Nothobranchius furzeri: one gene and its partner. The main gene of each other region encodes a partner of the protein of the gene in region 2 in a complex. Links are inferred from orthologs where the notes say so. Each region holds a gene or a part of one and is shown on either strand. Other genes may lie near its edges.

The links.
Region 1: the proteins of rabggtb (region 2) and ykt6 are in contact, whole or in part, in a crystal structure (PDB 6J7F), measured with the Homo sapiens proteins. The link is inferred for Nothobranchius furzeri from reciprocal best matches to the Homo sapiens genes RABGGTB and YKT6. Residues at the interface, in NP_004573.2 of Homo sapiens: Thr3, Pro4, Gln5, Lys6, Asp7, Ile9, Lys11, Tyr37, Leu45, Trp52, Leu236, Asp238, Cys240, Arg281, Gly283, Asp284, Met285, Asp287, Phe289, His290; in NP_006546.1 of Homo sapiens: Lys60, Gln62, Asp63, Leu65, Asn83, Glu84, Tyr85, Pro86, Ser87, Leu153, Asn155, Thr156, Glu158, Arg189, Lys190, Cys194, Cys195.

The regions. Positions count from the first base shown.
Region 1 is NC_091757.1:56,084,832-56,101,326, forward strand, and holds ykt6 (synaptobrevin homolog YKT6), read right to left. Parts: upstream 8,710-16,495; 5' UTR 8,517-8,709; intron 8,283-8,516; 5' UTR 8,228-8,282; coding exon 8,124-8,227; intron 7,946-8,123; coding exon 7,863-7,945; intron 5,987-7,862; coding exon 5,886-5,986; intron 5,812-5,885; coding exon 5,707-5,811; intron 5,601-5,706; coding exon 5,535-5,600; intron 3,524-5,534; coding exon 3,422-3,523; intron 3,332-3,421; coding exon 3,296-3,331; 3' UTR 1,821-3,295; downstream 1-1,820. Other genes in the region: uncharacterized protein, read right to left, coding at 387-458, 905-944, 1,335-1,382. UniProt on the Homo sapiens protein: Vesicular soluble NSF attachment protein receptor (v-SNARE) mediating vesicle docking and fusion to a specific acceptor cellular compartment. Functions in endoplasmic reticulum to Golgi transport; as part of a SNARE complex composed of GOSR1, GOSR2 and STX5.
Region 2 is NC_091751.1:41,392,381-41,408,704, forward strand, and holds rabggtb (geranylgeranyl transferase type-2 subunit beta), read left to right. Parts: upstream 1-8,212; 5' UTR 8,213-8,333; coding exon 8,334-8,336; intron 8,337-8,549; coding exon 8,550-8,657; intron 8,658-9,191; coding exon 9,192-9,389; intron 9,390-9,523; coding exon 9,524-9,629; intron 9,630-9,830; coding exon 9,831-9,883; intron 9,884-10,072; coding exon 10,073-10,183; intron 10,184-10,295; coding exon 10,296-10,421; intron 10,422-10,526; coding exon 10,527-10,676; intron 10,677-10,749; coding exon 10,750-10,890; 3' UTR 10,891-11,498; downstream 11,499-16,324. Other genes in the region: acadm (medium-chain specific acyl-CoA dehydrogenase, mitochondrial), read left to right, coding at 1,164-1,269, 1,374-1,471, 4,085-4,154, 4,291-4,391, 4,655-4,735, 4,948-5,078, 5,156-5,264, 5,402-5,542 and 3 more. UniProt on the Homo sapiens protein: Catalyzes the transfer of a geranylgeranyl moiety from geranylgeranyl diphosphate to both cysteines of Rab proteins with the C-terminal sequence -XXCC, -XCXC and -CCXX, such as RAB1A, RAB3A, RAB5A and RAB7A.

The DNA of each region.
Region 1 (16,495 bases), on a different chromosome or scaffold from region 2:
GAGTGATTATAAAGTTAAAGTGTGAAAGAATTTTAGGAAAATTATATTTATTTAGCCAAAAAGATGAAAGGATTTTTATACTTAAGATAAGTGCTTCACAAAAACCATAAAACTGCTTTAAAAACCGTGATCATAATTAAAAAATGGGTTAAAATTAAGATTAAAAATGAAAAGTAAAAAATGAACTAAATGATGTATTATAGCTTTTTTTAAATTACTCACTGAAAACTGATCTTCTGCCTTGTTTGACTCCCAGTTTATGAGCCTCTCCCTTATTTAGTGGTTTAAGCTGCTTAAAGGAAACGGCCTGTTTCTGTTTGCTGTTGACTCAACCACGGTTTGTAATGGCTTCAACCGAACGCACAACTATAAACACGTCTGCTCACCAGGGATGATCCCACTGGTCCTGGTTAGTGGGTCCTCTGTGCACGAAGCACAAGTAGCAGCTGCAGTGGAAACTTGGGGGACACACACATAAATCCTTAAAATCATTACAATCAGTAAAGACTACATCTCTGTAAAATCTGGAGCACAAAAATGCTCCAAAGGAACGCTGGTTTCATTGCTTCTGCAAGAAAAAGCACGAGTTAACTCTTGTTCTGTTTCTAACACCTTTCTATTCCTTGCTGTAAACCTAATTAAACACAGAAAAATGTTAATATCTTTTATTTTCTCATAGGTCACATTAAATAAGTTGTATTTATGGGATCTCCGCACACTGGCTGTGGGAATAATGGACTTTGCTCCACAACAAAGACTTTAACCTAAAGCCTTTTTATTTGCTGCAGGTCTGTGAACCACAAGATGTTAAATCATTAAGACCCACAGAGATAGTTTGCACTTTCCACCCTGATGAGCCTGAATTGATTTCTAAGAATCACAAAGAACAAATGATGTAGCTCACCATTGCTCTGTTGGTGCACAAGCTGCTCTCCGAGAACCACCTGAAAAGTAAAAAACATCACTCCTCATTAAGGATGTCAGTTTGAAACCAGTCACTTCTATCAACTAGAATATTAAACCAAAGATAAATCCTGAGATAAGACGGAGTTTGGGCTTAATCAAGTCGGGCTGCAAATGGAAACTTGTTGCAGGAAGTCCACAGCAGGAAAATCAGCGTCGCGACCGTGGAAAAGATAAGACAAGCATGCAAAGAATACAAATACTATGCTAGACACGTATTTATTAAATGTTTAGTTCAGTTTTAACCGTGAAATTTTAAATAACTTCAGTGACGTCATGTTTAGGTTTTAAAGGTGAATTAACGCGGATTCCCCAAAGATTCGCGCTTCTTTTGGCAGAAAATCCTTTGTTAGTGTCCTTTAGCTCCTCACCTGTGAGTTGGAACTTTCATTAACGACAACAAAGCTCCTGTTTTCCATCCTCGATCACATATTTCCCGCGTCGGAAACTCCGAACTGTCCTTCTCACTTTCAGCTGCACGCTCACGCTGCCCTCTGTGCTGCGTTCAAGAGCTCCTTCAAAACTCGGATTTTCCACAAACACAGATGTTTATCGCTGATTGCACCGGACTGGATCAAATTATTCAGCTAATCTGTTTTCCTAATGAAAAGAACGGATGTGTTTAATTATCTTGCATTATTAGTAACTTATGTTGTCCCGTTTATTTTAAAAGTTGTTTTCAGTTTTTCCTTCTTGGAAAGCGCATCGAACTATGCATGAAATGTGTTATATTCAAATTAAAGCTATCTTATTATTTTTAAATTAAAATAAAAGCTTTATTAGCTTCATCTCAGAAAGCCAACAGCTCACTATAACTGACTTTTGCACACGAATAAAAAAAATGAAACCATACATCAGACATTTATGCTTTTTATCTAAGCAAGAGTAGTGTTTTTACAGAAAGTAAGTTACAGGTTTTATTTTCAAAAAATATGTGCTGCACATGGAGCTGCAACAAGCAACAGTCGAGATCTGATAATACAGTTGGAAGTTTTCAAAAGACAAAAAAGTGAAAATCAACCCTGGACAAGCTTGGAGTTGGTCAAAAGAAAAAGCATGCAAGGTTTGTAACTTATGAAAATTTATATATATGTATGTATATATATATATATATATATATATATATATATATATATATATTCCTCTTCATGTTAAAGAAACAGTCTGCAGACGTTGCACCAAAGTTTACACAACAGAAAGCAGAGACTGCACAATCTTCTCAGCATTAACACAGCGTGCAGCTGGAGGTTGGAAGAGTATCAGCGATATATACACACACACACACACACACACGTCAGAGAAACATCGAAAACACACAACCAAAGGCACGGACTCTTGAAATGACGTTTTCTCCAGTCGTGTAAAGAAAATGAAGAATGGCAGCTGTAGGGCGACTGTAAAAGCCAGATGTGCTATTACTGAGTACTTCCTGTCCCATTTTTAATTATCATACCCATTCAAGATGACTAGAGTGCAGAAAATGAAACGAGCACCTAGACCTCCCAGAATGACCTCCGTTTTTAAGGGTGAAGTGCTTCTTGGATTTAGAGGTACAAGAACAAAATCCAGGACAGCAGCTTTAAGTGAGTTCTTATCAGAAGTTTCAGGAACTCTTTGCAAACGAGGACAAACAAAACTGGGAGTTTCCAAACATTTTACAGCTAATTGTCCACATTATCAGCTTATCACAGACTCATCCAAACAGGAATGTTGAAGACTTCATCTAACATCATTAAATAGACCGAAAAAGAAAACAAAGCAGTTGTGTAAGTAAATGCAGAGCAGCTCAATGTTAATTAAAATATGTAAAAGTCTGATGTCAAACATCCAAGTTGTTTAGAAGACCGCGTTAAACACCGAGGCTTCATTAGAGCGGTGATGTAAATAAACAGAGCCCCCTAGTGGGCAAACGGGGTAAGGAGAAAACCAGTTTCCAAAAGTTCAACGGCGACGTCACCAGATTGTCAGTTATCATGAAGCAGAAAGCACAAGTGTGGTTAATACTCGCTCAGTGTTTTAAGAGATCAAGCGATTAGCTTTTGATTCGATCTGAATAACATCAAAGGGGTTTAAAAGGTGTCGATGACATCACCAGCACATAACGTCACGCTATAATGTCCTCAGTTGGTAAGAAACAGCACACAGACGTTCACTCCTTCCCCCGACCAAACCCCATCACTCCTGCAGCCCCCATCAGTCACCCCGCTGAAACTGGCCACCCCGTTCTGCTCTCATCCCGGCGCTCCGTCCCGGTGGAGAGCCGGTGCATGATGGGGGTTGTAGGAAAAGCAGAAAGGCAGAGAGTTGTCCCCACGAGGACGAGGCAGCAGCATCACATGATTTCACAGCACGAGTTCTGTTTCCGTGCCTGAAGGGTCGACAGAAAAACCAGAGTTTTAAAACAGAAGCAGACGAGGTCAGAGTTGGACGTGAAACGAGACGAGCCGACGGGACTTACGGTCTTGTAGAAGGCTTTGGACTGATTTCCCAGGTGCTCTGACTTCGCAACCAGGTCATCCAGTTTCTCTCCTCTTTCCAACAGACTTTCCATGGTGTTGTGCTGCAGAGAGTTTATACGTGAAACAGTGCAGAGATTAGGATTCAGAATTATCCAGAGAAAACCGCTAAAGCCTACTTCTTAAAGCCACAGGCTCTGGATGTTGACGTCTGACAGGATGTGAAACACACCACCTAGAGATCAACCCTCTGGGCTCCAGGGTGTAATTTGCCGTTTTTGACTAATTTAGAGTTTTCTTTTGTATTTCCAAAATAAAAGCCATAAGCACTGCCTTATGTGGTATCAATCTTTTCAGCACAACCTGGACTTTATGGATTTATACTTATTTTTTATATTTGGACATAAAGGGGTTGCATATTAGACCTTAAATCACTCAAAAACATAAAATCCGAATAGGAAAAAAGTTGTTTATTTTACTGTGAAACCAACAAACATTTATGACGAATGTTTTTTATAATTTAGAATGGTAATTTAGGCTGTACATTTATAAAAAAAAAATATATGAATAAATATAGCAAATAACACATTAAAAATAAATTATTAGCCCTCTGGGGTCCAGGATGTAAATCACCGTTTTTGACTCATTTTGGTTTTTCTAGTAAAAACAAATTTTGCCTTATGGGGCATAATTTTTTCAGGACAGTCTGGACTATCTGAATTTATACTAATTTTATTGATTTGGCAATAATGTACATGCATTTTGGAGTGGGGAGTGGCTCTGTCTCACGCCGCGGAGATCGAGATCTGACAGCTGCGCGGCGCCGCCCACTCGTCTCGTTGGATCTCCGAGGAGCTGGATCTCTGCCGTCATCCTCTACCTCATCATGACCCAACTCTTCTATGAGGAAGGATGGATCCGCCACATCGTCATCAACATCCTCGCTATTTGCCTCAAACTCCGGCTGTGAGTCTCCGCCCACTTCCTCTGCTTCCAGTTCCAAAAACAGCCGTACTATCTGACCTGCCTGGTGGACATTTATCCTTCTCATCATCCTTTATTAAAGCCTAATAAAAGCCCACTAAACTGCAGAGACGATATATCTGTCCGGATCGCTCCAAAATATGAAGTTTACCGTCAATATCTGTCTAATTGTTTGTTGTTACTCCGTTGGCGCCACTCCTTTCCCCGCCAAGCGGCTCCTTTTGGCGCACACCTCGTTACTCGTGCAGCCTTCCTCTCTCTCTCAGCTACATAATGATGCTTTTTATCAGCTGAATATGTGAGACTTCCACCAACAGCAACAGGATCTCATGTTTTTATGTTCACAAGCACGTTCCCTCTCACGGATCATTAAACTGCTGTTTTGACAAGTTATCAGATTGTCTAAAAATAGGTCGTTTTTTTAGTTTAGCATAACTCCGCTTTTACGTTGCCTATTAACAACATTTAAAAACTGGGGTGTAGTTTAAAATCTCCTTTTTAAAGCTGAATTGAAACCGAAACTCAGGGAGGCGGAGTCTTGCTGCTACAGCGTCCCAAATCAGACCTGTTAAAGACGCGGATGCGCGTCCACGGACCCCCGAGGGTTAAACAGCTCCTGTCACATTCCAACACGATGACACATTTGCCATCGAACCACAGCCGCGGCTCAGACTCCTACAGCCTAGTCTATATGTTTACATCAGCTCTGTGATGGAGACGAAGCGCCGCTGATGCAATAGCCTGAAAAGAGGGTGACGGAGACACGCCCACATTTTTTACTTTCTTTTGAAAACAACAGAAACCGCAAGTCTGCGAATGATCAGGATGCCACTTCCTTTAAATCTGTCAACAGCAGAGCCATCAACGGGGAACTGCTTGGCAACAGTCCAGGCGATGGAGAGGTCTGAAAGGTGAACGTCTCCGCTGATGCGTGTGCACGACTACACACCCGAGCGTTTTCTGTCTGTATTCTATCAGAAGCTAAAGCAGGAAATAGGTGTAAGAGACTATTTTCTTCTTCAGCCTGCATCCTAAACTCTCAGTGACTTACTTTCAAAAAGAAGTAAACAAACAAATAAAATAAAAGTTTCTCAGAGGAGCTGGCCTTTAAAGAATGTGAACGTATTTTACCAAAATGATCTTGGTCTCATCCAGCTCTGCCTGCACTTTGGTCATTGCATCAGCTTCTCTGGGATTCTGAGGGGGAAACAGATGATCAGCTGTAAGAATCTGTTTGACGAGATTCATAAAAAGCCACAAATATGATAAAATACACGATGGTGTGTGACGCCGTTTAACTAACCTGGTACTTAGAAAGGTGAATGTCCAGAGCTTTGTAGTGGACGGTGTCAGGACTCCCGGATGGCCAGTCTACACTGTCCACTTGCCTGGAGAACTCATCTAATACCTGAGAGACAGAGCAGTCTAAAAGCTGCTGTTCAGAGCAAAGCGCTGCAGCAGCACGCTAAACGTTTTACTCACCTTTTCAAGCAGCGTGAAGCAGACCCTCTGTGGATATTCAGTGTCTGCGATCACCACACCACCCAAGTTGTCGTTTCTCACGTACACATGGCACAGGTACTCTGCAGAAGTGGAAATAAGTCAAATCTCGGGTTGTCACGGTAACCGGTGTAGCGGTAAACCCCGGTAAAAGAAGTTGACAGTAATAATAACTGTTACGGTTGCCAGTGTGGCCAGTGGAGAGAAGCAGCCCGACACCGCCCCTCCTCCTCGTCTCTCCCGGGCTGCTGAGGAGCACAGCTGCGAGGAATCTACCTGATGAGCAAACACCTGGATAAAAGGGCTGTGCCCTCAGCAGTGCAGGGGTTCTGCTGTCCTCCCGGTTTTGTTTGTTTTCAACCCCTTTCGTTTGGACGAGTTTTAAACTTTGGCAGTTTTGAACTCTTGGTGATAAGTTTTTCTGGACGATCCAGTGGGATCTTTTTGGCTGTTTGGTTTTAAGGTTAACTTGGTTTGTGCAATTTTACTGACCTCGGTTTTTAAACACCTTCGTGTGGTGAAGCTTTTAATATAAGTTTTAACCCGGTGTTTTATAGCTGATAATTTGCTGTGTAATGTTAACCTTTTAGAGAGATCTGTTTGCTTTTTTTTTAATACCTTTTTGTTACCATTAAACCCATTTTAAACTCCTCCGCCAGTTCTTATGTTACCCCCATCCTTCACATTCTTACAACACCCGTCGGGGACGTAACAATAACCGTCTTGTTTAAAAACTATATTATCTCGGTGGATCACCGTGGCTGCGGTGTAGGCGTGGTGACCCTTACCAGCCACCGTATCATCTGCTGAAGTTGCCGGCGGCACATGCGCACTTTGTTGTTTACAACCAAAACTTTCTTGAAGCTAAAGCTGAAATAATGGCCAAAGGAGGAGACGGCAGCGCTCAGGAGGACATTTATTATCCCTCAAAGAAGACAAAGTGGGAAGTACGGCATTTTTTGGATATTTGAAGAATGCCGAGGGACAGCTGATAGAGGACGGCTATCCTGTTTGCAGCACGTGGGGAGCGGTGAGCTGCAGCAGTGGCTGTGCTCTGGAACTATTTGGTGGTCTAACCCCCCAATCCAACCCCTTAAAGCTGAGCGTCAATCATTGGGTCCCATTTTTAAAGACTTTGGCATGACCTGCCTGGGATCTGAACCTGATCTCCCAGTCCCAGGGTGGACACTCTACCACTAGGCCATGTAGAAAGTTTAACATCCAGTTACTGACACTCAGCCACGTTTAGATCAAACACTGCCTGTTCAAAAACAAGTCACAAGCCGGATTTAACAGAGCAAACAAATAAATAATAAATAAATAATATACAATATATAAATGTATATAACAATGTCAACTGTGAAAGGCTGGTTCAGGGATCATGAGACATCATTTTATTCTGGACACCAGATTCCCAACCTGAAACCCACTGAGGATCTTTGGGACTCAGAAATAAATAGTGATGTTTAGCAAAATAATGCAAAAGGGAATCTGTCACGATCAATACAGGATGGGCAGTTCGTGCTTTTTGATACAGCGAGGACTAAAGCTACTATTTTTAAGAATAATTATGAAATATTTATATAAGCCAACATTTTAAAATATATATATATATGTATATCTTAATGAAATACCAAGAAAAAAATAAGCTTTTTAAAATACTAATATTTAGTATTTTTATTTATTTTAAAAAGTCCACATTTTTGTTTCTCTTTAGTTATGGATAAACAAAGAAGCTTCATTTGCTACTTTGTGCGTTATGTCTTTATTCTCAACTTCAAACTGACAGAAAAAAGTGAGAAAACATGTAGAAAATAACCTCAACATCAATGTTTTTCTTAACATCTAAAAGATCCTTTACACTCTTGTTCTTACTCCTGAGAACCCAACATGGTTTTGTCGTCATGACCAGGTAGAAGATCAAATACAAGTCTTTAAAACGGACCACACCAGCCTTACCTTGTTCTTTGACGGAGGCACGGGTTCCTTGAGATGTTCGTTCAACAATCAGTGCACTGGTGAAGGTCATGAACTCTTGAACACTGAATTTACAAAATAAAACATCATCACTGATGGTAGTCTAATGAAAACAGTAAGCAAGTATGATATGTGATCCACGAGTTTAGGCGTTTGACAGAGTTTTAGTACCAAATACTTCAAACACCATTAACACCAACAAAGACTAGAGCGTTTAATCTATACGTAAATACTGGGAGGCACCTGGAGCGCTGGAAGAAGCTGAAGGATGACAGGTCATAGGCCGCTTTCAGGAGATTGGCTTTGGTCGACCCTTTATAGTGGACGCTGAGGCTGTAGAGCTTCATGATACCACCGGATCAGCTCAGGTCTGTAGAGCGGTCACAATCACGAGAGTATTACCTGTTAGCCAGCAGCTGGTTAGCGTCCCTGCTAAACTTGCTAGAAGCGAAACAGACTTAGCTTACGAGCGAAAGTACTGACAGCTAGCAGGCTGTTTGCTTGACTTAGCTTCTGGTAACTTGTTTTGTATGTTTTTGTTTATTTGTAAAGACGAACCCGTTTTAATTCAGCTTCATGAGTTAAATAAGCTAACCAGATATGCTACATTGTAGAAGAGGCCTGAGCCAAACTCACCGGAAGATTCAGCAGCGAAACACCCGATTTAAACCAGAACAACAAAAAAGATCAACAAGAGGCTCTACAGCGCGACTGCAAGAATTATCAGTGTTGTCTCAAAGGGAGAATTTGTACTTCAGTAATCAGTTTCCACGTCAGAACCAGTAGACGTTCCCATCTACATGAGCGTTTTGACGTCACTTCCGTGTTTGGGAAAACGGCTCCGCCTGCGTTAATAAAAGCGCGCCAGATCCTTTTGGAGGATTTTGAGGACTTGAAAACTATGAAGAGGGAAAAGAAAACTAAACTAAATATGGAATAATAGAATTTTTAAAGGCATTTGCTCATTACAGAGGATGCTCCACTTTATTATATTTTGTTCCAAATTAGGGAAAAGAACATTTTTGTTATTTTTTTCCTCTGAATATTTTTCAGGGTTACTAATAAATACTCTATTAATGTTAACAACAACAGCAATAATAATAATAATAATCTATAATATTAAATAATAATAATATTATTATCATTGATGTTCTCACTCCCTGTAAATATTCGGTTATTTTGTTTGCACAGGATTTTTTATGCAGTAATTTCATTTGAGTCCTTTAACTAATTTGTCCTAATGCTTCAAAAACTTTAAAATCTGCTATTGTCTGGTTGCTGCTTTCTGAAGAATGTCTAAGCTAATTGAGAAGTCGTAATAAAAATACAAGACGGTTTTTTAAAATCAATAATACTGTTTTCTTTTTCATCTACCAGTCATTTTGCCAAGCAAAAACATGGCGCCATCAACTGATCTCCTCTGTGGTAATGTTGGTCCATTTAACAATTTCCTCCTGGCCACTTAACTTACGGTAAGTAAGTGTTTTCCATGTCAGTAGTGTGCCTGTTGCTAATTTCCCAGGTAACATAAAATGGGAACTGCTAAGGCTTCAGATGCATCTGTTGGATCAGCTACACCACGGGAGGAAGGGAAACATCTTTCCTGGAATTAGCTCTAGTTTTGCTCACAGACAACCTTGTCCAGGAGGATTTCAGACTCTAATGGGAAGTTTGAATAATCTATCTTCATTTTTGTTCTTTTTTTTATTCCAAATCAGTGCTCTGGATTTTATTTTAACGTGTTTTTTGTCCTGGGACGAAACATTAAGAATGTTATGCAGAAAGTTAATAGTATAGCCTACACTTTTTGGGGGTCAACAAGGCAGTTTTTCAGAGTGAAGCTGTAGCTTTTTTTTTAAATCACTTTGAATCTTAAACATTTTTCTTCCAGATCGCTCTTTACACTCTGCCATAAAATATGCATAAGATTCCAAATTCTTCATTTTTGCACCAAATGACTTCTTGTACTGCAAGAATGAACAAAAGCCCGTAGATTATTTAAAGATTGGGTTTTTTTGGGGGAGGTGGTATTTTGATGATATCCTTTCAGAGTTTACCAGCCAGGTCTTAAAAAGCACTGTGGAGAACTTTCATCGAGCAATATGTAGATGACACATGGGGGAAAAAGGCCTGATAGGTCTGACGTCTCATTTGCAGAATCAATTATTTCTAACGTTGTGAATGGGCACAGAGAAAAAACATTCATAGAGGACAAACGGGGAACTCCAGACTCCATTAAAGTTCTGCTGCAGAGCACCGATGGTCAGCGGCGCGTCCAGGATTTAACCCTCACTGTGAAAGGATGGAAAAGGTAACAGTTCATCTCTCTCTGTGTGTTTGTGAGAGCTAGATTTAGACAGCAGAGGAAGCAATCTCATTTGAGCTAAGTGGCTGAAAAAGAGTCACAGATTTTCCTAGAAAGGTCTTATTTTATGAGGAAAATCTTACAGCAAATCTGCAAAAACAACAATTTTCCAGCTCACTTCCTTTACTGTAACAATATAGAGTTTGATATTTAATCCCATTTATTTAGTTTACTTATCCAAATGTAGTCATTAATAAATTAAATCAAAACTCCAACAGCAGTTCTAAACAAACCTGTTCCTGTTTTACTTATAAGACAATTATTTCCATCTGGTTGTGCTTAAATAAGCATCTCTACAAATACATTACTGCAAACAATGTCATTAGTCTTAAATATTATTCATTTAGTTGATATATTTTCTTTAAATACAAACTAGGGATTAGTATTGATCGCGTGTGTGAACTCTAACTTCTTTAAACAGAAACTCAGGTGTGAATGAAGTGAATAATATAAAATGTGTTGCGCTGATAGTTCTAAAACACACGTTTTGGAAATTTCCATGGATTTATAAACTTTTTGCATCATATGCAACTAAGTTTTGTGACTCAAAATTTCTACTAAAAGTAACATTTTTTTATTCTAAAAAATAACGTCCGTAATGTTTTTTGTTGCATTTCATAATTAATAAATTATTTTAAGCTACGTTTTAATTTTAGACATCTCACAAACCACACTTTCTGCAATTATTTTGAGCCATACCCCAGAATAAAAACTATTATTGTCATCTGCAAATAAAATAAAATATAATAGACTTTATTAACCCCACACCGACTAAAGCAGCACATCTGCTTAGAGAAAAAAGGAAGAAGAGAATAATAACGAGATTTCAGATAAACACACAAAGGTAATGAGCTATCAATGTTTATTTATGTTTATTTATTTATTTGTGTAACCTTCAACCACTAAAAACAATGAATGAAAAGGAAACTTGGGTTTCCAGAACTATGCAGCATAATGAACTCAGACATATTACGTCAGGTACTGCACAAGTATTGAACACATACTGAATACCACACTGATGTCATTGTGTACCAGGATAATGCCAGTACCAGTTAAACTGACAATTTACGCACTATTACTGCAGAGGGGATGAATGACCTACGGTAGTGTTCTGTTTTACATCTGGGATGTCTTAGTCTACCTCTGAAGGAGCTGTCCATGGTCCCCACAATGGAACACGGTGGGTAGGAGGGGTTTCCCAAGATGGAGGTCATCTTCCTTAGCATCCTCCTTCCACACATCATCCTCAGCTGAATCTAGTTGGCAGCCCAGAACAGAGCTAGCTTTATTTTACTAGCTTGTTCAGTCTCCTCCTGTCTCGGTCAGAGCTGCCTGCACCCCAACAGACCACGGCAGAATGAATAACAGAGCTGACAGCAGAGTGATAAAAGAATTTTAGCAGATGTGAATTAAATCTGATGGACCTCAGCCTCCTCAGGAATACAGAGCATCTGTGTTGTTGGACCAGTTCAGTTTACTGATGACGTGAACACTAATGGTATCCACCACCTCAACGTCTGCACCTGGATGTTTACCGGTGAGTGAGGAGGAGTGTTTCTCTGGAAGCCAATCACCATTTCCTTTGTTTTACTGGTGTTTAATTGAAGGTGGTTATGCTCACACCAGTCTACAAGGTCCATGATGACTGTCATGTGAATAGATACAGTGCGTATGCCTTTAAGACTTGCCTGAAGGGGGAGGAGTTTGGAGGGAGTTCGGCGGGCTGAGAAATAAACACAGCACCTCTCGAGCTGAAGGACGTTGAGTCATGTATTACGTTGGTCATACATAGAACATGGTGTCAGAAGTTAAGCGGTGAATATGGCCAAGTTTAACCCTCCCGACAACTTTGACTTCACCCGCCTGGAGCAGTGGCCGGAGTGGAGGCAGCGGTTCCAGCGTTGACGGCTAGCAACTAAGCTAAACCTCGAGGATGGAGCTGTGCAGGTTAGCACCCTACTCTACGCGCTTGGCAAGGAAGCGGAACAAGTGTTTAACACTCTGCGGTTCAATGAGGAGGAGGATGAGGAGGACTATGACACGGTATTGGGAAAGCTAAATAATTACTTCATTCCAAAAGTTAACGTCATCCACGAACGAGCACGGTTTTACCTCCGCTCGCAAAAGAAGGGTGAGTCCGCGGAGGAATACATACGTACACTCTATGAACTGGCCGAGACCTGTCAGTTTGGTCCGGCGAAGATTGAAAACATTCGCGACAAGTTAGTGGTTGGGATCCTGGACAAAGACATGTCAGAGAAACTACAGTTAAAAGCCGACCTCACACTGGAGAAAGCCGTGGAGATGGTGAGACAGTCTGAGCAGATAAAGAGGCAAGTTAGCCAGCAAGCTAAGGCTGACACGGGAGATGCAGCAGCTCTGAGTGAGGTTAGACACAATGTGCGTGCTGCGCCTTCCCAACAACACAGAGGAAGAGAGAGGGCGCGGGGCGGCGGCGGGCCCCAGGCGCCAGGGCAACGCGACGGCAGCGCTGCAGAATCTAAATGCTTCAGGTGCGGACGAGATCACAGGAGCAATACGCTGTGTGCAGCCAGGCAAGCAAAATGCAGAAACTGCCATAAAATTGGACACTTTGCCGCCGTGTGCCGCTCTGCAAGAGTAAACGAAATAAAAACAAGAGAGAGGCTGGATGAAAATTTCAACGAGGGGCACTTCCTGGGCGAGATAAAAACAACACAACTTTATGTAACTGACTCTAATAAGCCATGGACTGTCCAACCAAACATCTGCGGTACCTCTGTCAGCTTCAAAATTGATACTGGTGCAGATGCCAGTGTAATTTCGGACGACACCTATCATCGCTTCAACAGCTCGCCCCAACTATCAAGCGCTCACACAGATTTCGACAGCCCTGGTGGAAGGCTCAACTGTCTAGGACTGTTCACTGCCACTACAAAATATAAAGGGCAAAGTTACAGGTTCAGTATCCACGTCATGGAAACAACTAACAGCAGCAACTTAGTAGGCCGTGATGTTGCTGTGGCGATGGGACTGGTGAAGAAAGTGGAAGAGGTGAGAAGCACGTCCGGGACGGATCTAGGCCTCCTAAAAATAAAACCTGTGAAAATACATCTGCAGGACGACGCTGTCCCCTACAGCATCAGCACAGCCAGGCGAGTGTCTGCCCCCTTCTCTCCAAAGTCAAGAACGAGCTCGACAGGATGCTGAAATGCAACGCCATAGAAGAAATAACAGAGCCAACAGAGTGGTGTGCTCCCACAGTTCCAGTCCCAAAGAAAAATGGCGAGGTATGGATTTGTGTTGATCTGAAGACACTGAACATGGCAGTGAAGAGGGAACGATTTGTCCTACCCACCATAGATGGTATATTGCCGAGGCTAGCAGAGTCTAGAGTATTCTCTCTACTGGACGCAGCAAGCGGCTTCCGGCAAATCCCACTTGAGAGAGGAACAGCTAAACTAACCACGTTCATTACCCCAGTGGGTCGGTTCTTTTTCAAGCGACTGCCCTTTGGAATCTCCAGTGCGCCAGAAAGTTTCCAGAGGGAAATGTCTGTGCCGTTCAGAGGACAGGAGGGAGTGGAAGTGTACATGGATGACATCCTCGTCCATGGCAGAGATGATAAAGAACACAAAGAGAGACTCCAAAATGCTCTGTGCATCCTGAAAAGTGCAGACCTAGAACTGAACAATGTGAAATGTTTCCTGAGACAAAGACAGCTGAGCTATTTGGGACATCGAATTGGCGGTGACGGCATTCAGCCTGATCCCTCTAAAGTAGCCGCCATCACAGAGCTACAGCCCCCAACTGACGTGCCTGGCTTGAGGAGGTTCCTGGGCATGGTCCATTACCTTGGACGCTTCCTGCCCAACTTATCTGAAGTGATAAAGCCACTCAATGACCTGCTGAGGAGCAGAGCAGTGCAGACCTGGGACACAGCACAAGATAACGCATTCAACAAGGTAAAACAACTCATTTCCACCGCACCTTCACTTGCATTCTATAATGTAACCAAACCAACCGTGGTGAGTGCAGACGCGAGCAGCTACGGGCTAGGTGGGGTACTGTTACAGAGACACTCAGATGGACTGAAACCATTAGCTTTCTGTTCAAGATCATTGACTGAAGCTGAGATGCGCCAAGCACAAATAGAAAAAGAATGCCTGGCTGCAGTTTGGTCCTGCAAGAGATTTTCCACTTACCTATATGGCCTGAACAACTTTACGGTCCACACAGACCACAAACCGCTGGTTCCCCTAATTAACAACAAAGATCTTGATAGGGTCCCCTTGAGGAGCCAGCAGTTGCTGATGCGGATGATGAAGTATAACCCCATCACAGAGTACGTGCCGGGGAAAACACTGACAGTAGCCGACATGCTTTCCAGACAGCCATTACCTGTAATAACAAGTGAAGTGTCCGAGCTAACGTATGATGATTCAGAGTTTGAAGATGCAGCTCACACGGCGTGGCCAATGTCACCTTCCAAACTGGAATGGATCAAGCAGGAGACGAGTGTGGATCATGGCCTGCAGGTGGTGAACAGACTGATCTTGGAGGGATGGCCAAAGTATGTGGGGAGTGTACCCACACAAGCTAAAGCCCATCACCACTGCAGTAACAGCCTGTCGATATCAAAGGGTCTTGTGCTGTATGGAGACCGCATCGTGATTCCCCAAAGTATGAGAAAAGAGATCCTTCACCGGTTACATGATGTGCACCAAGGCATCACCAAGTGCAAGGAACGAGCGCGCATGAGTGTGTGGTGGCCCGGACTAGAAAAAGACATCCAGGAACTGGTGACAAAATGTCTGGAGTGCATGAGAGTCAGACCTACACAACGGAAGGAGCCTCTGATCACAACACCACTACCACAGAGGCCCTGGCAATCGATAGGCGCGGACATCTGGGAGTATGAAAAAGAACATTACTTGGTAGTTGTGGACTTTTATTCTTGTTATTTAGAGTTGGCTCACCTACCGGACATGAAGAGACCAAATGGTCCCGCCTGAAAAACATGTTTGCTAGCCGGGGTTGTCCAGAAGAACTCACCACTGACGATGCTACACAGTTTACGAGCAAAGAGTTTGACAGTTTTTCTGTAGCCTATGATTTCAGGCACATCACCTCCAGCCCCCACTATCCTCAGGCCAATGGTAAGGCTGAGAGAGCTGTTCAGACAGCAAAGAGGATTCTCCGGCAGGACGACCAGTTTTTGGCTCTCATGGCCTACAGAGCCACACCAGTACAAGCCACAGGCGCCAGTCCGGCCCAGCTGATGATGGGTCGTCAGATTAAGACGACTGTACCTACAGTCGGTAAGGTTCTGCTGCCTAAGTGGCCCAACTTCGCAAAGGTGCGTGCAGCCGATGCCAAGGCGAACAGGAGCTACGAACGTGTCTACAACCGACGCCATGGTGCCAGAGCACTCCCACCCCTTACACCCGGGCAGGATGTGGCGGAGAAACTTGATGGTGATTCTGGCTGGACATCTGCGGCAAAGGTCCAACAACCACATCCCGCTCCAAGGTCCTACCTGATCCAGACAGAGCACGGGACACTGCGGAGGAACAGGCGCCACCTACGACCAATATTCCTTCCTGGTGTGGCAGATCAGCCACCACCACCATCGTCAACACCCCATCACCCCAACGACGCGTGTATGGTTGGGTTGTGTCCTGTTGCCTTCATCCTTTGACGAAGAAAAAAAAAGTGTTGGTGATCGTTTGCAATTATTGTGATTGACTCTTTGGTTAAAAGCATCTATGTTATGTTTCTGCTGTCGGTTACTGTTACAGAGGCTTCCAATGCTTTGAGAAAAAAGACGCACTTTGTTCTTTCACTCTGTTTACACTGTCTCTGGCTCAAAGAGGGGAGATGTCATGTGGATAGATACAGTGTGTATGCCTTTAAGACTTGCCTGAAGGGGGAGGAGTTTGGAGGGAGTTCGGCGGACTGAGAAATAAACACAACACCTCTCGAGCTGAAGGACGTTGAGTCATTTATTACGTTGGTCGTACATAGAACAATGACTTGTCTGTATTCCAGCTCAATCCCCCCAGACACAAAGCCAACAATGGGCGAGTCATCAGAGAACTCATGGAGGTGACAGCTGCTGATGTTGTAGGTGTAGTCCGAGCTGTAGAAGGTGAAGAGAAAGCGTGAGAGCACGGTACCCTGTGGAGCTCCCGAACTGCACATAACCACCTCATACAGTTTTGCAGCCTCATGTACTGTGGCCTGTTGGTGAGGTAGTTGATGGTCCATG
Region 2 (16,324 bases):
AGAAATTCTTATTTTTCCATTCAAATCCGGTGAACTTCAGGGGTTACGTCACAAGCTAGCTAGTTAGCAAAATGCTCCAAAAATCTGAATACATAACTTTTACCAAGGTCATAACTTCTAAGTATTTGGCTTTTCCCTCGTCCTTTAGGACACTTGTGCGTTTATATAAAATTACACACATGTTATGGACTTGTGTCTATTTTTTGCCAGTCTTAACGTCTCTGAAGTTGGTTTGTTTTTAATCATTTATTCAGTGGATCGTTTTTTAATCATGAACGTAAACAGAAAATCTGCGTCTTCACAAGCAACAGCTAGTAATGTTTGCGTGTTTGAATGAAAAGCTGCAAATCTGACGAGTTCCAATTTGATGAGCATGACATGAAAAACCACATTAGCTTTTTCTAGTCAGGTGGTCTTCTCTTGAAAGGACCCTGAACAGTAGAGCACCCGTTCTCTGATCTTTGTTCTGCCTTTTTATTATTTGAAACTAAGCTATTGAAGCTCCTTGAGCTTAACCAGCTCATTGCTTTGCCCAAAGGTTCACGTCTAAACGCTTCATTCAATGTAACACCTGCTCATTACAGCCAAGTCATTATAGTAAAACATAATATAGACGTTATAGTGTGTAACTCCACTAAACTATGTTTAATGATTCAGCTGTTTTTTTTTATATTTCTAATTCAGATTTCAATCTGTTATCTCTTTGAATGTCATTTGTCTTAATATCAGACTTTAAACAGATTTAATGTTGGAAGCAAGAAGCTTGTTTGTTTACAGATGTTTTATGTTAATAGGTGGTTAATATAATTTAGTAACAGGACTTTTTGAGTTCATATGGGAACTCCTATTGATGATGACCTCCCCTGGGATTTTGGGGGACTTAATCACCATTAATAATACTACCACTCAAATACTACCACTTACAACTACAATTCTTCCACTGTGTGTTTTTAATATTCTCTGGCCAAGTAAAATTTGCAGTCACACTTTGCTGTCCTGGTCCATTTTCCATGAGTTGATGTCTTTAGATGTGATTGTTTTTTTATTTAGTTTTGTGCTTATATTATCTGATCAAATACACCAGCTAGTAGTTTCTTTTGTTTGTTTTTTGAAAATTTTCAACTTTAAAGTGTGAAAACAACTTCAGTTTTGATCTTGCACAGGTCTTCAGAGCCAGTCTTCAGTCTGGGATTCGTCTGCAGAGCTCTGGCGTGACTGCAGCCAAAGCTGCAGCAGCTGGCCATGCAGGAGCACCTGGCTTTTCTTTTGGTTAGTGGGGTACAGTGTGTTTTTTAAATCACAGTCCTGTGGGAAGAAATTCTGTCCCTAAAAGTCTTTTCACTGTGGAGAAATAATTTTCTCCTATTCTGTAGAACTGACGGATCAGCAGAAGGAGTTCCAGCAGCTGGCGAGGAGGTTTGCTCGAGAAGAGATGATCCCTGTTGCAGCTGCTTATGACAGGAGTGGGGAAGTAAGAGCAGCAAACATGGGGCTAAAATGTTCATGTCCAATAAATATCACACTACTTTTAACATCAGAGTAGCAAGAGTCATGCAAAAGGTTCGTCACCTTTTAGGCCTTTGAGTTGTGTATTAGTTTAAACCTGTCGTTCCATCCTGAGAGCAACTGCCCTGCATGTTTTAGATTACCTAGACTTATGGGGTGTTTAAGGGGTTTCTGAAGAACTTGTGGACATGCTGCTTAGGTCATTTAGCTGTTAAATTGTGATGGAGCAGAAAAAATAACACTGACTCGACACTAGGGATGTGTATTGGTGAAATTAGGGTGATACGATACGTATCATGATAAAAGGGAGACGATGCAATATATCACAATATATTACAATACATTCAGACAATTGTAGCGCTTTTTTTAGACTGAATTTAATATAGAATTCAATTAACAGTCCAAACTGGTGTTTAACATGAGGTATCTGAACCATGTTACAGGGATTTACGCCGGGGACACACTGGCCGCGGAAGCGCCGCGAAAATGGGACCGCCTTCATTCGGCGCCCTTGTTAAGCTATTCTATAGACCACATGGGCCGCCGAAGCGCCGCGAATTGCCTCGCGCCGGCGCTCAAGGCCGCGCCGTGCAGCGATCATTTCGGCGTTGGCTCTATTTTTTTCGCGAGCCGCGGGTGAATCGCGTCAATTCTGGCATGATTATTTACGTCCCATTTCGGAAGAAACTGCTAGGATACAGCGTGATACGTGATCCAGAATTGGAGCGGGTTCCAAGAGATTCAACTGGCAGAAACAACTCATACCATAGGTTCACACACACACACACACACACACACACACACACACACACACACACACACACACACACACACACACACACACACACACACTCAAACGTAGAGGAAAAGAGCTGAGAAAAGGCAGAGAGGAAATGGAGGACACCAAGTGTTTAAAAGAAAAACTACAGCTGAGCCGAGGCGCGCCTCGACTGGGGCGCGCCTGATCTGAACTGAGGAGCGGCGATCAGCGGCCGAATTTCGTGAGCGATTCGCTTCTCGGCGCTTCCGCGGCCGGTGTGTCCCCGGCGTTACATTTCAATGGTGGAAACAAAACCAACTGCACACTGCTGCCAACTAGCGGTTGATGTTTGAATTGCACACAAAAAAAAGAAAATACACAAATGTTTTAATGTAAATTCTTCCCAAAATTAGATATGCGGCTTTTGAATATTGATATAATATTGCTAGAAAATATATCACGATATATTGACAACAATGAAGCAAAGAAACAGATCTTTGAGTTTGTTAGTAATTTTATTTATTAGGTGCATCTAACCTGTTCTATTTTTCTCTGAAATGAGATCAAATCAGTGCTTCTATGGGTTGTATCCTCTCTGCACTAGAAAAATTTACTTTACTATAATGTTCACTGTAATACATCTTGAAATCAAAGATATTGGTCAATAATGCCAAATTTGTGTTTCAGTCATTTTTATACTGGCTTAAAAATAATTCATTAAGTCTACCAAGCAGGGGTGAAGAATGTTTTCAATAGGGCCAGCCCAGTAATGATCTTGGACCAAAATAAAGGGGGCAGAAAGTCAAATAAAGGGGGGCAGAAGATGTTTTTCCAGACGCCAAGAAAAATTAAATACCAAATCCCCCCTGCAAAGTGTGTCACTGAGAGTTTAAAACAAAAATTATTTTTGTGCAAATATTGGTGTACTCACCTTTAATACTAGTTATTAAAATGCAGCAGTTGATGGACTGGTGCTGATCAAAGTGGAGTGCATCAAATAAAACAATATTAACATAAAGGTGAAACGTGTCATCATAATGATTTATCCTTGTCTAAATAATATTCTTACTGATGAAATCAGAAAATGTATAAACAAGTAGAAATTACATTTAAGTAATAAGTAATTTTCATAACAACTGCACTAGTAGGACTTTAGCATGAAGGTGTCTCCATCCTTCAGTGCTAACCCTGACCAGCTTTCAACAGTTAAACCTTTTTGTCTTTTTACAGAAACTCAAAAAAGGCTTTTAGGCTAATTAAATTAAAGGTGTGATTCCCTGAAAAAAAAAACATTTTATTGATTATTTCTGATAATGAGTCTCTGAGTTTTTCATGCAAACTGAACATGAAAATAGTCTCCTACACCTATCTCCTGCATTAGCATCTGATAGAAAGCAGACGGTGAAACTCTAGGATAGAAAATCCTGACAGATCTATGTCACGCTGTCACTTAACATTCATGGACTCACCCATCTTGACTCACAATGGTGAAGGCTGTTGTTTGTTTAGCATCCAGGAAACAGCAGAGAACATCTCGACTAGTAGACGCTAACTGTTAGCATTAGCAACTCCACCACACAGCAAAACTCCTTCAGGCTTGTGTTTTTTATGGAGGTAAAACATCAACATTGCAAATCAATAGTAGAGTAAATTTTTCTAAGCAAAATCCCTAAAAAGGAACAATAGATATGTCAGGGATTCAAACCCTTTATAGAATGTAATCGTGCCTTTTAGGTGGTGCTAGATCCAGTCCTGCTGCTGTGTGTTTCAGCCATGACGGTTATCTCTAATGAGAAACTTTAAAATGCTTTTTTACAGTATCCATTCCCCATCATTAAGAAGGCATGGGAGCTCGGCCTGGTGAACGGTCACATCCCACAGGAATACGGTGCGCTTCTTGTGCTTTTTAAACAACACACGCTGTCTTTTCTTTATTTTTATGCATCTTGTTTGTGGATAACTGTTTCTGACGAGCTGGCGGATTAACGTCTGACCCACTGCTGCACCTGCCCTTCTTGTCTCAGGTGGATTGGGTTTGTCGATCTTCGACAGCTGCCTCATCACAGAGGAGTTGGCTTACGCCTGCACAGGAATGCAAACCGCCATCGAGGCCAATTCTCTGGGAGTAAGTCTCACAGCAGTTAACACACGTGAGCGTGGCCACAGATTTCTGGTGGCACAATAAACCTTTGTCTCTAACTCGGATCAATAAAACGAAGCTTTGTCTGGAAATGTTAGTATTATCCCACAAAACCTTTGTTTAGATGTAGTTTCCAGGGCCGGTTTTGCTGTTGAATCTATTTCTGCTCTAGTTTGATGTACCTCCCTAATGAGTGATGAATGTTATAGCTCCGTTAGAATGAACTTCATACTGTTTCTGCCACGCAGCAAATGCCTGTTATCCTGGCTGGCAGCGATGCACAAAAGAAGAAATATCTGGGCAGGATGACGGAGGAGCCGCTCATGTGTGTAAGTGTGTCCTTCAGCGTTTTCTGCTTCTCTAGTTTTCAGACGGTAGTACGAGCCACCGTGGTCGCTGGTCACAGGATGTTCTTCATGTGTCCGGACTGGTTTTTGTATCTTTAATGATCTTTTTACAACCTGCCATCAACAGAAACAAAGACGAAGCTGTCGCAGGGTGGATTCGGTCTTATTGATAAGATTTCTTTTGTTCTCGTTAGGCGTACTGTGTGACCGAACCCGGGGCGGGTTCTGATGTGGCCGGTATAAAGACCCGAGCTGTGAAGATGGGTGACGAGTATGTCGTTAACGGGCAGAAGATGTGGATTACTAACGGAGGGAAAGCTAACTGGTCTGTGTTTACTGCATTTTAGGCTTTTATTGCAGTTTTCTTTTTACATCTACTTATTTAATTATTATTTATCTCAGGTATTTCCTCCTCGCCCGAACCGAAGCTGATCCCAAATGTCCAGCTAGCAAAGCTTTCACTGGCTTCATTGTAGATGCAGACACTCCAGGAATTCAACCAGGAAGGAAGGTAGGATGGGATTCTTATTTTCTGTAAGGAAACATCACTTAGTTTGACACATTTAAGCCTTTCCATTAGCTCTCAGGTTCATTTCTTTAAATTTTCTCGCTAACAGAGGAATCTTATATTTGCTTTTGCCCCTGCAGGAGATGAACATGGGCCAGAGGTGCTCTGACACCAGAGGCATTACGTTTGAAGATGTCAGAATACCCAAGGAGAACGTCCTGATCACAGAGGGAGCTGGTTTCAAAATCGCCATGGGTGCCTTTGACAACACCAGACCACCAGTAGGTTCTCCAGCTGGAGCCAGCATCTATCAACCACACTTAATGAGTTTGTGTCCAAGTTGCTAATTGAAAACATGGAAAAAACTTTATTTGCCGATCTTTGATTTGTGGTTCACGTCCTCCAGTGGAATCCTCAGAGGTAACTGAAGTATGTTTTGGCTAATTACTGTACTTGATGCTGTGCAGGTAGCAGCAGGAGCAACAGGTCTGGCACAGAGAGCGCTGGATGAAGCCACTAACTACGCCCTGGAGAGGAAGACATTTGGCAAAGCGATTGCTGAGGTTTGTTTTTAATGAAATCCTTTAATAGAAATGCACCTGACAAGATGGGTAAACTGTTTGTGTCTGGCAGCATCAAGCCGTGTCGTTCCTGCTGGCTGAGATGGCCATGAAGGTGGAGCTGGCCCGGATGGCGTACCAGCGGTCCGCTTGGGAACGGGATCAGGGTCGCAGAAACACTTATTACGCCTCCATCGCCAAGGCCTTCGCTGGAGACATCGCCAATCAGGTGGCTTCTGATGCCGTTCAGATTTTTGGAGGCAACGGCTTCAACAGCGAGTACCCGGTGGAGAAGCTGATGAGGGATGCAAAGATCTACCAGGTGGGTGTTGCCTTTGCATGCAGGTGAAGCTGGAGGCTTTCATTTTAAATTGAATCTGTTCTTTTGTAGATCTATGAAGGCACAGCTCAAATCCAAAGGCTCATCATTGCCAGAGAACACCTAGGAAGATTCCAGAAATGAAATCAGCTGTTTGACTTTTCTTCTTCTGCATTTAAATATTGTACTTTGGATATAAATAAGCTCCTGTCAAACTAATCTGGCCTCAGGATGCAGCTCTAGATGTTGTTTGCCTTAAAACGGATTCATTCTGCTCTGCAGTATCAAACAAGTTCAGACCACGAAAAGGAAACATTTTTAAGACATAAATAATCGTGTTGTTTCCAGTTTAGCACATTTTGTACAAAAACATCTTTTGAATGTGAAGGAAAGAGAGTCTGTTCAGGTTGGAAATGATCATCAGCAGGATACAAATAAATGTGTTTAGAAGGAAATCTGTTTCTGAACTAAAACTGTTGCAGTTATTCTCGTTCACGAGTGTTTTGTTGATAAAGATGTTTTTTTTAATGAAAATCCGGTTGAAGGTCAAAGTTCAGACTTGGCTCACACCTTTGTGATTTTTGTTAACTTGTCTTCATGCCTGTAGTCATGCCTTAAACACACAACTGACTCTGGTCAAATGTGTAAAGTTGTATAAATTCATTTAACACTAGAATGTGTGGAAGTAATTCTGCATGCTGTCAGCCAGTTCCACTCAGCAGACATTATCAACATTATGGTAAACTTCTGCACACTTGCTCACTAATGTTGGATGTAATGCTGTATGATTTTTCTGAGCCGTCCACTTAATAAATTCATTCTGGATTATATGGTTTGGTTTTATGGATGTCGGTCATTCTTTTGGATGAGTGAACAAAGGAAATCCTAAATGTATTAATGAAAAAAAAAAACTGATCACCATTATATGTACTGATTGTAAACAAACATTTAACGCTTTAAATGTTAGTCATGTTACATTTTTACGTATTTGTAGCCGTTTTTAAATCTAGTTTCTGTTAAAACTTTACTGATGTATTTCCTGAAGAATAGGTGTTTTAAATATGATAGCTAATGGTATAATTTAAAGGAAGCTTTTTGATGAATAAGTAAAAGTTTATTTATATAGCGCCTTTCACAGATATAAATCACAACATGATAAAGATCAGAGCAAATACCTCTAACCAATAAAAACATCTGAAAAACAATAGCAGTGATAAACGTAGAAAATAAAATCATGAGTATAAACAAAGGGAAGGTGTGAACTCGAACAAAACCATCTTTTTGAAACATTTAGGGAGGTAACGCCTGGATGAAAAGGTGAGTTTTTAGATGATTTTTAAAGACCTCTACAGTGTTAGAGAGACGGAGATTTGAAGGTAGACTGTTCCAAAGTCTGGGGCCAATAGTCTGAAAGGCCCTGTCCCCTTTGGTTTACAGTCTGGTTCGAGGAACAGCCAGGAGGTTTTCAGATGTGGATCTAAGTTCCGAGAGGTGATGTGTGGGGATAAAAGCTCAGATAGGTAGCTTGGAGCCTGGTTGTTAAGAGCTCTATAGGTCAGGAGGACTAAAACTTTAAACTGTATTCTATATTCTACCGGGAGCCAGTGGAGGGACTGTAAAACTGGAGTGATGTGAGCTCGTCTGCTGGATTTGGTTAGGAGTCCAGCTGCTGCATTTTGGATGGCTTGAAGGCGTGAGAGGGAGGTTTTGCTGAGACCAGTAAAAAGAGCGTTACAGTAGTCTAAGCGTGATGACACAAAGGCATGGATGATTTTTTCCAGATCTGCAGTAGAAACCAGTTTACGGACTTTTGAAATGTTTCTCAGTTGAAAGAAACAAGAGCGGGAGATGGTTTTGACGTGAGTCTAAACTTAAAGCTGGATCAAAAATAACTCCTAGGTTTCTAATGTTGGCCTTGGCTGATGGGCAAAGTAAAAGTAAAGTAAAAGTAACTTTTCCAGTTTTTTCCCTAGAATAGTTACATATTTTTACTATACTATCACTAAAAGTACAAATACAAAACACTTAGTATTTTTGATTTCAAAACCGCACAATAAATAACTCAAATTGATATTTTGTTCTTGTAATACTTCAATCAAACCAGAAGGTGGCGGTAAAGTCTGAAACTATACGACATTTAAAACCGTAGAAGAAGAAGGCCGGAAGTAGCTTGACCATGCAAAATATGTCAGAATGGTAATCCGTCACTTGTTCTTCTGTGCTTTAGAGCATCGTTTTATAATTAAAGTGTGTGTAAATGTTATCTTGTCTTCTTTATTTAAATGCTGTGCCGAAGTGGATGCTACCCTTGTTAGCATTTAGCAGCTAGTCATAACAATGTGTCCTCCTGTATTCGTTTAACTACAGCGTAGTTGTGTCTTGTGACCGTTTCTGTTGTGTTTTTGTCAGAGTGCTCAACTAAAAGATGTCATCATTAAACCTGACGCTCCCAGCTGGCTGCTGCTGGACAAACATGCAGATTACATCGCTGCCTACGGGTCCAAGAAGGACGACTATGTGAGTGACGTTTTATTTACACTTAGTTTGTAGGATTTGTGTCGTCTCGTTTTTATCTGCCTCTGTCGATAAAACCTCGTTTCAGAAGTTTTAAACGTTTTATTTATTTATTTTGGGTTAAGATAAAAGATGCATTCAGGTGTTTTAAAAGGTAAGTTTTTTGTCCCAATTTTCCACAAAGTATATTAAAAAAGACAGAAAATGCTTTAAAGAAACCAAAGATGTACATTTTAAAAAATAATTATAAGACTAAAGAGACGGCCCTCACGTCTCATGAGCACCCACATCAGTGGGGATCTCCCCTGGACCCAAAACAGATTGCCAAGAAGGCAAAATTTTGAACTGCCCTCCACAACTCTCAGCAACTACAGCAGCCTGATCATCTGATTCACTGGTTAAGATTGTGTGCACAAATAAGAAATTTTACTTTGGTTTAACGGGTTTTTGCAACAGGAATTAAATAATGTTTTAAACCCAAAATCAAACTGTACCTGGTCTTTGGTGTTAATGAAATCTGACACCTCTGTGCTGCAGGAGTACACACTGTCAGAGTACCTGAGGATGAGCGGTATCTACTGGGGGCTGACGGTGATGGATCTGATGGGTCAGCTGCCCAGGATGAGCCGTCAGGAGATCATAGACTTCATCAAAGCCTGCCAACACGAGTGTGGAGGCGTCAGCGCCAGTATTGGACATGACCCACACCTGCTGTACACCCTCAGCGCCATCCAGGTGACACAAAGCCTCATTATAATAAATCACAAATGCTAAGGATGTGAGGAAAACTCAGATGAGCTAAACGATCACATGTGTTTTTCTTTAAGGTTTTTAGTTGACATCTTTTTATTTTTACACGTCTTTCTCAGATCTTGTGCTTGTATGACAGCCTGGATGCGATCGATGTTGACAAAGTGGTGGAATATGTGAAAGGGCTTCAGCAGGAGGATGGCTCTTTTGCAGGGGACAAATGGGGTGAGCGAGCTTTACTCTCTCTTTCATTTAGAGTAAAAATAAAAAGTCATTTTCACAAAGCAAAGCAGCTCTTTAGAGAAACCTGCACAACAAACTCTTAGATGTCTGAGAATAAGGAGCTGCATCTGGAATTGTGCACAAGCTTTAACTATAAGATTATTTAAAGATCTTTATCGTAACTGAAGTTTTCGTTCTTTTCAGGAGAAATAGACACACGCTTTTCTTTCTGTGCGGTTGCTACGCTAGCGTTACTGGTACGTACGGGTTTGTCTGAAAATAACCGTAATGCAGGCTGAACCAACAGTTCTGTGATAAAACTCACTCAGTTGCATCTTTTTTCCTGATGTCTGTGAACTTTTTAAAGGAGGTCGTGAGTTTGTTATTTAGTCAGATTAACCATACCTCTGAAGATTACTTTCTAGTCTTCATCTGTCCTTTCCCAGGGGAAAATGGACTCGATAAACGTAGACAAGGCGGTTGAGTTCGTCCTGTCCTGTATGAATTTTGATGGAGGTTTTGGCTGCAGACCTGGTTCAGAGTCTCACGCTGGTCAGGTGAGTTTTTGTCCCCAAACAACAATGTAAAAAAACCTAAAGGTTCAATTTATAATAGAATGAAAAATCTTCTGACATTAAACCCCCTGTTGCTTTTTTACGCTTTCATAAGATTTACTGCTGCACTGGTTTCCTGTCGCTCACTGGCCAGCTGCACCAGCTGAACGCCGACCTGTTGGGCTGGTGGCTCTGTGAGAGGCAGCTGCCATCTGGAGGCCTCAACGGGAGACCAGAGAAGGTCTGCCACCTCCTGATGATGTTTGGTTTTAGATTTGTTTGGAAAAATGACCAAAGAAACCCTTTTTTTAAGACTTGTCTTTAATCAAACCTCCATCTGACGCAGCTCCCAGATGTTTGCTACTCGTGGTGGGTTCTGGCATCGCTGAAGATCATCGGCCGGATCCACTGGATCGACAAAGCCAAGCTGCGGCGGTTTATTCTGGCCTGTCAGGACGAGGAGACGGGAGGTTTTGCAGACCGACCAGGAGACGTGGTGAGACGTGTTCTGAAAAGCAGAGCTCAGATTTTCCTCCAGTGTTCTGAATGTTCTGGTCTCTCCTCTGCAGGTGGATCCTTTCCACACTCTGTTCGGGATCGCCGGTCTCTCTCTCCTCGGCGACGAGCAGATCAAGGCAGTAAATCCGGTTCTGTGCATGCCGGAGGACGTCCTGCAGAGGGTCCACCTGCAGCCCGACCTCCTCAGCTAGCCCATCATCATCCTCACAAACACCGCTACCCTCACATAAACTCCCCTCAGCTGGAAGCAGGAAGTGGATCCGGACTCATCTCTGTTTCACTCTTCGGCCTTAATCCTTCCTCTGCTCACGTTTCTATCCAGCGTATCGTGTTTCAGCTGTTGAAGTTTAAACATAATTTAAAAACACATTCCTTACACTTAAATGCATCACTTCCATCAGCTGCAGCTAAGAATTAATATTATTGTTTATGTGGAACTTTGGATTCAGCCGGGAGGAAAAAGTGTTTTTGGCACCTTAAACTCTTAGCAGTTACGTAGCTGCTTTTTAATCATAAAAGGCGTTTTTATGAGCAGCAAGAGCGATGTGGAGGACACTAACGGTGTTTGCAGCAGACAGGCTTTCTGGGAAACCTAACTAAACAATATTCTACGTTTACAGCTTTATTCACTATTTATTAAACCTATTCACAGCTCTCTAAGGATTCTGGGAAATTTCTGTTAAACATTTGAGTCGTAAATTCTTCACTTTTATTGTCTTATTGTCAAACGTTTGTTTTGTTGTTGTGAACTGATCCGTGTCCGTTGGTACAGAGTAAATAAATCACACCAGTGTTCAAATTTCTAGTGTTTTTTTTTTCTGATTTAGAAGCCAAACATTGTTCCAGTTACAGATCTGATAACTTATGTTCACTAAGACAACTTGAGATCGGTTTAGAAATGAGCTTCACATCAATAGGAAACTTGTTTATGTTATGTTTTTCACTATTTTACTGCAGACACTCAGTAACGTTCTCATATTTGTATTCAGCGTTAAAAATCACAGTTTTAAGATATTCAACTTTACTATAATAAGTTTGATTGCAGAAGTTTCTGTTTTACACAAATAAAAAACTAATCAGTTTGGATGTTGAACTTTTTCTTAGGTACAGGTATTTTATGAAGCGGTGTTTGGCTCGTTAATAGTAAAAATGATCAAATATGTTCATCTAGAAGCTTTTAAACAAGCATTGATGGGTTTGTAATCTAAAGCTTAAAGAGCAAGTCACCCCCTACCAGATTCGTACTCAACTCCCACTTCCTGTTTGAAAAATGCAACAAATGCTGTTGCCCAGCAGACCGAGAGGGCGGAGCCGCTAACAAATACAGGGTACCTCTTAGCCAATAGCGATGGCAGATTTAAATTCAAATGCAGTGCAGAGTTTTTACCTGACAGTTTTAGGCAGAAAATTAAAATTTTAACAAGAAATGCACTAAAGTGTTAAACTATTGACTACACGTGTCTGCAGCACAATTAGACACGCATTTATATAGTTTATTCGAAAAAAAAAGTTGATTTGGGGGTGACTTGCTCTTAAAACATAATGTACATAAAAGCTTTTCAGTTATAAATGTTCTTTAAACTACTTTGATACCTCCGTTATTAAACTGTGTTTGATGTGGTTGCAGATTTAGTAAAACTAAATTACTTCTGTAACGTTTCTCCCTGAGGCTGCAGAGGCGGCTGTGGTTTACCTCCAGATGGCTGCTCCATCACCTGTGGTGTCCAACTCTGGTCCTCAAGGGCCACGCACCTGATTTTAATCAGTAGGTGATTAACAGGCTTATGCAGAGCCTGATGAGCAGCTGAACAGGTGATTCAACCATGTGACGAAGACCGTTGGAGCAGGGAAACAACTAAAACATTACAGGATACGGACCTAGAGTTGGACACCACTGGTAAAAGTCATCAAAATGGTCCACAGTTTTTAATGTTTGATGCGTTTTTCCACTCGGCGTGTCCAACATACACTATTTAAACGAAAAGGTCATTGATGAGCTTGTGAACCAGGGACCACATTAGATTTAGCAAAAATGATGCTGTTACTCTGTCCAGTTTGAGCAATTTTAGGGTTAATTGGGAAGCAAAGACCAGTAGAATAATTTCTATCAAAGAGATAATGTGATTTCTTTTTTCAGAGGCAAAATGGAAGTTGGGATCACTGATATGTAAAAACACCACACAGCTATAATAAATGTTAACATAATCAGCTCCTTTACCACAAAACAAAACATTGTGTGAGTCTCTCACTAAAAGTGAGCCACCTCCTGTTAGTTAAGTTTTTACTGGTGAAAACTTTTTCACCACTGGATTTTTGTCATTTTGATGTGAGTGGTGATCCAAACAGCTTAGGAACAAATTCCATTAGTACCATCATGATGTTGCATAAATAGGGTTTAGTTAGTTCCCCTGTTGCTAAGACCTAAACGCCACAGCGTTTTATTATGAAAGAATTTACAGAAAGTGTTTCTAGGGAGATACTGTAACTTTTTGAAGGTAGTTTCTTCTTCTCTATAATATTAATGCTCCCAAGAGGACAAGAACTAAGATTAGGATTTTTTTTTCATCTTCATTGAGATAAGGATGCTAAAATGTTCTTTTAGATCAGGGGTAGGGAACCTAAAATGTCCAGCATGTTTTGGAGGTTTACCTGCTTCAACACATCTGATTTTAATCAGCAGGTGATTAACTGGCTTCTACTAAGCCTGGTGAGCTGCTGAACAGGTGAATCAACAGTGCTGAAGCAGGGAAACGTCTAAAACCTGCTGGATAGTAACTCCAGGATCAGGGTTCCCTACACCTGGGTATAACTGAACTAAACTGTACTTCCAGCTTATAGCCACTGGAGGGTGCCAATACCCCTTCTCGTTTTTAAAGGTCCAGGGAAACCATGAGGAAAACCTGTAGCTGACAGGGGTTAGCAGACTCAATACTATACAACCACTGTTACATAAATACAGTTTTTATTGTTTTTAGCTGAAAATATAAGAAAAAATACGATTACAGCGAGTTCCTCTGTTGCCAACAGACAAATGCCCATAGCTCTGTTATTTTGAATAACATCAAAATAACTAAGTACATCCCTCTCCTCCTCCTCCTTAATATTGTTGCTCCCAAGAGGACAAACACAGATAGTTTTTCAGCTTTATTTAGATAAAGAGGCTAAAATGTTCTTAGAAGGTTGAACAGAACTAAAGTGTAGTTCCAGCTTAAGGCCACTGGAGGGCGCCAATACCTCTTGTCACATATAAAAAGTCCATGAAAACTTTAGCGCCTGCAGCTAGCTGGGTTTAGCAGACTCTATACAGTCGTCGTTTTTAACACGCAAAAATGCAGCTTTAATTGTGTTTTTAGCTGAAAAATATGAAAAAAAAGACTTAAGCAAGTTCCCCCGTTGTCAATACCACAAATGCCCTTAGCCCTGTTATTTTAAAGAATGTTCTTCCCTCTTCTCCTTATAATTGATGGTCCCAAGAGGACAAACAAAGAGTTTTCTTTATTGATATGAAGAGGAAAAAATGTTTTTTTCAAAGGTGCATTATTAAATAATATAGTGAGAATTTTACAGAGAGAAAATTACAAGAGTCTAATGTTTCAGGCATTTTGCAAGGAAGGGAGCCCCTCCTCCCTCCCTGGAAGAACAAAAAAAATTAATGCAAGTCAACGGGGCTAAAAACGCAATTTTCTAATCTGCTTAGCCTTATGCCCTGGATCGCACATATGTTGTACTGCAATATAAATGAAAAGTAATGGTGGGTGTTTTGACCATGCCAGTCACGCACTTTGAGATTTCTCAGCTTGTAAAAGTTCGTAATTAACATACACATCAGAAATTGGCAAGTCGCCACACAATCTCCTCTTCCCTAGCGTAGCTGCTACTTACCAAATGACCAGATCTATGGTGGTTATTTCCTCCTGTGGGAAGTTTGCTGAACTTACAGCTATTTTCCCTCAGTTTTCTCCATGTCTGGTTCGATGATGTCACTTTTGTGAAGCGCATTTGTAGTCCTGGACTGGTTTTCACACAAAACCTAAAATAGCATTTCCCCCGTTCGAAAATAAGCACATTCGTGGTATCAAAATGTGTCTATAAAATTCACGGACATCATATGTGAAATCCATGGCACAAAACAAGCGGAATTAGGAAATTGCGTTTTTTGCCACATTGACATTCACTTTTTCATTCTTTTGGGTGTAAGGTTATGAAGTTCATTATTTTCAACTCCACACAGCTGCCCCCTGTGCACAATAACACCCGTGTAGAAAAACCAAGGTCGGGTGTTCCTCGGACCACGGTAGATGGGCATGACACATCCAGCTGGCTGCAGGGATTGTCAGTTTTTTTCCATTCAAAACAAAGGAAGGAGGGATGTAACTACTGTTTACCATCAGTGAGTGTGGGGTTGCCGTGTCTCCTGTGAACTGATGCTGCAGTGCCAACAATTGCAATTTGATAACGGCTGGCAAAAATCTTCAGAGTTGTTGAGGTTGCAGTAACCAAATTTTACCACAGGATGTAATTTTTACTTCATTTCTACATAATGCACCTTTAAAGGTGTGGTTCACTGAAATTCACTGAAAAATACTGAGAGATCTACAAACTGTCACTTAACATTCATGGACTCATCCATCTTGACTTGCGACGGCGACTCGTAGAAGCTAACCATTAGCATCAGCAACTCCGCCCCACAGCAGAACTTCTTCAGGCTTGTGTTATTTGTGGAGATAAAACATCAACGTTGCAAAGCAAAGAGTCAGTGGGAGAGTCACAATGCTGTTAGAAGAGAGATGTCCAAATATCAGGAAATAAGACTCCAAATCCTGTCGCGTTCAGCTCAACTCTAAAATGGCTCACGTGTAGTTCCTCAAACAAGTCCACCGGAGCTTTTTTTCCCACATAATGAGTCTTAGAAGGCATTAATTCCTATTAGAGACCACTGCAAATGTATTAATTAAATGAGTCAACCACACCTTTAAATGGTTAAATAGAATTAAAATGTAGTTTAGAATTGTCACCACTGGCAGGCATCAATTTCCTCTCATTGCTTAGTTAAAATCAATTTAAAACAGAGTTTGTAGCGCTGTAGTAGTGGGAATGTGTAGAGTAGCGATGCAATGTGATTGGATAGATGAACTTTATTCAGTGTGAGAAATTGAAGGTGTGGCGTGAGAGCGTGTGAAGACAGTCAACCATGTTGTTAGTAGTAAACATTATAATTGAATACAGTTCATTTTGGGTGTTAAAGTCTCTTTTTCCGGAGTGCTTCTCTTATCCGATGGCACCATCTAGTGGCTGACAAGCATATCACACAAATAGTCTCTCGATTCGTTTTTTAAGATGACAATTTCATGTTTCTTGTTTATTAATGGGCTACTGTAGCTGACAAACGGAGCTAAAACACGTTGTTTTACAAGTATTATTCTCGTGTCATGCTGTGTTTTCATATATTTATATTTTAAAGACTTACTATTTGAAAAGTTCATCAAGTCTGCATCAGCCAAGGTATTCCTTAAATTTGAAGCATGTAAGCGGTAGTCTAACACTATTGGTTGGTTCTGGTCGGTGCTCAATTTCTTATTGCACAGAGCTCTGCGGGGCATGGGGCGTGCTTAGCAAAGAAATTTA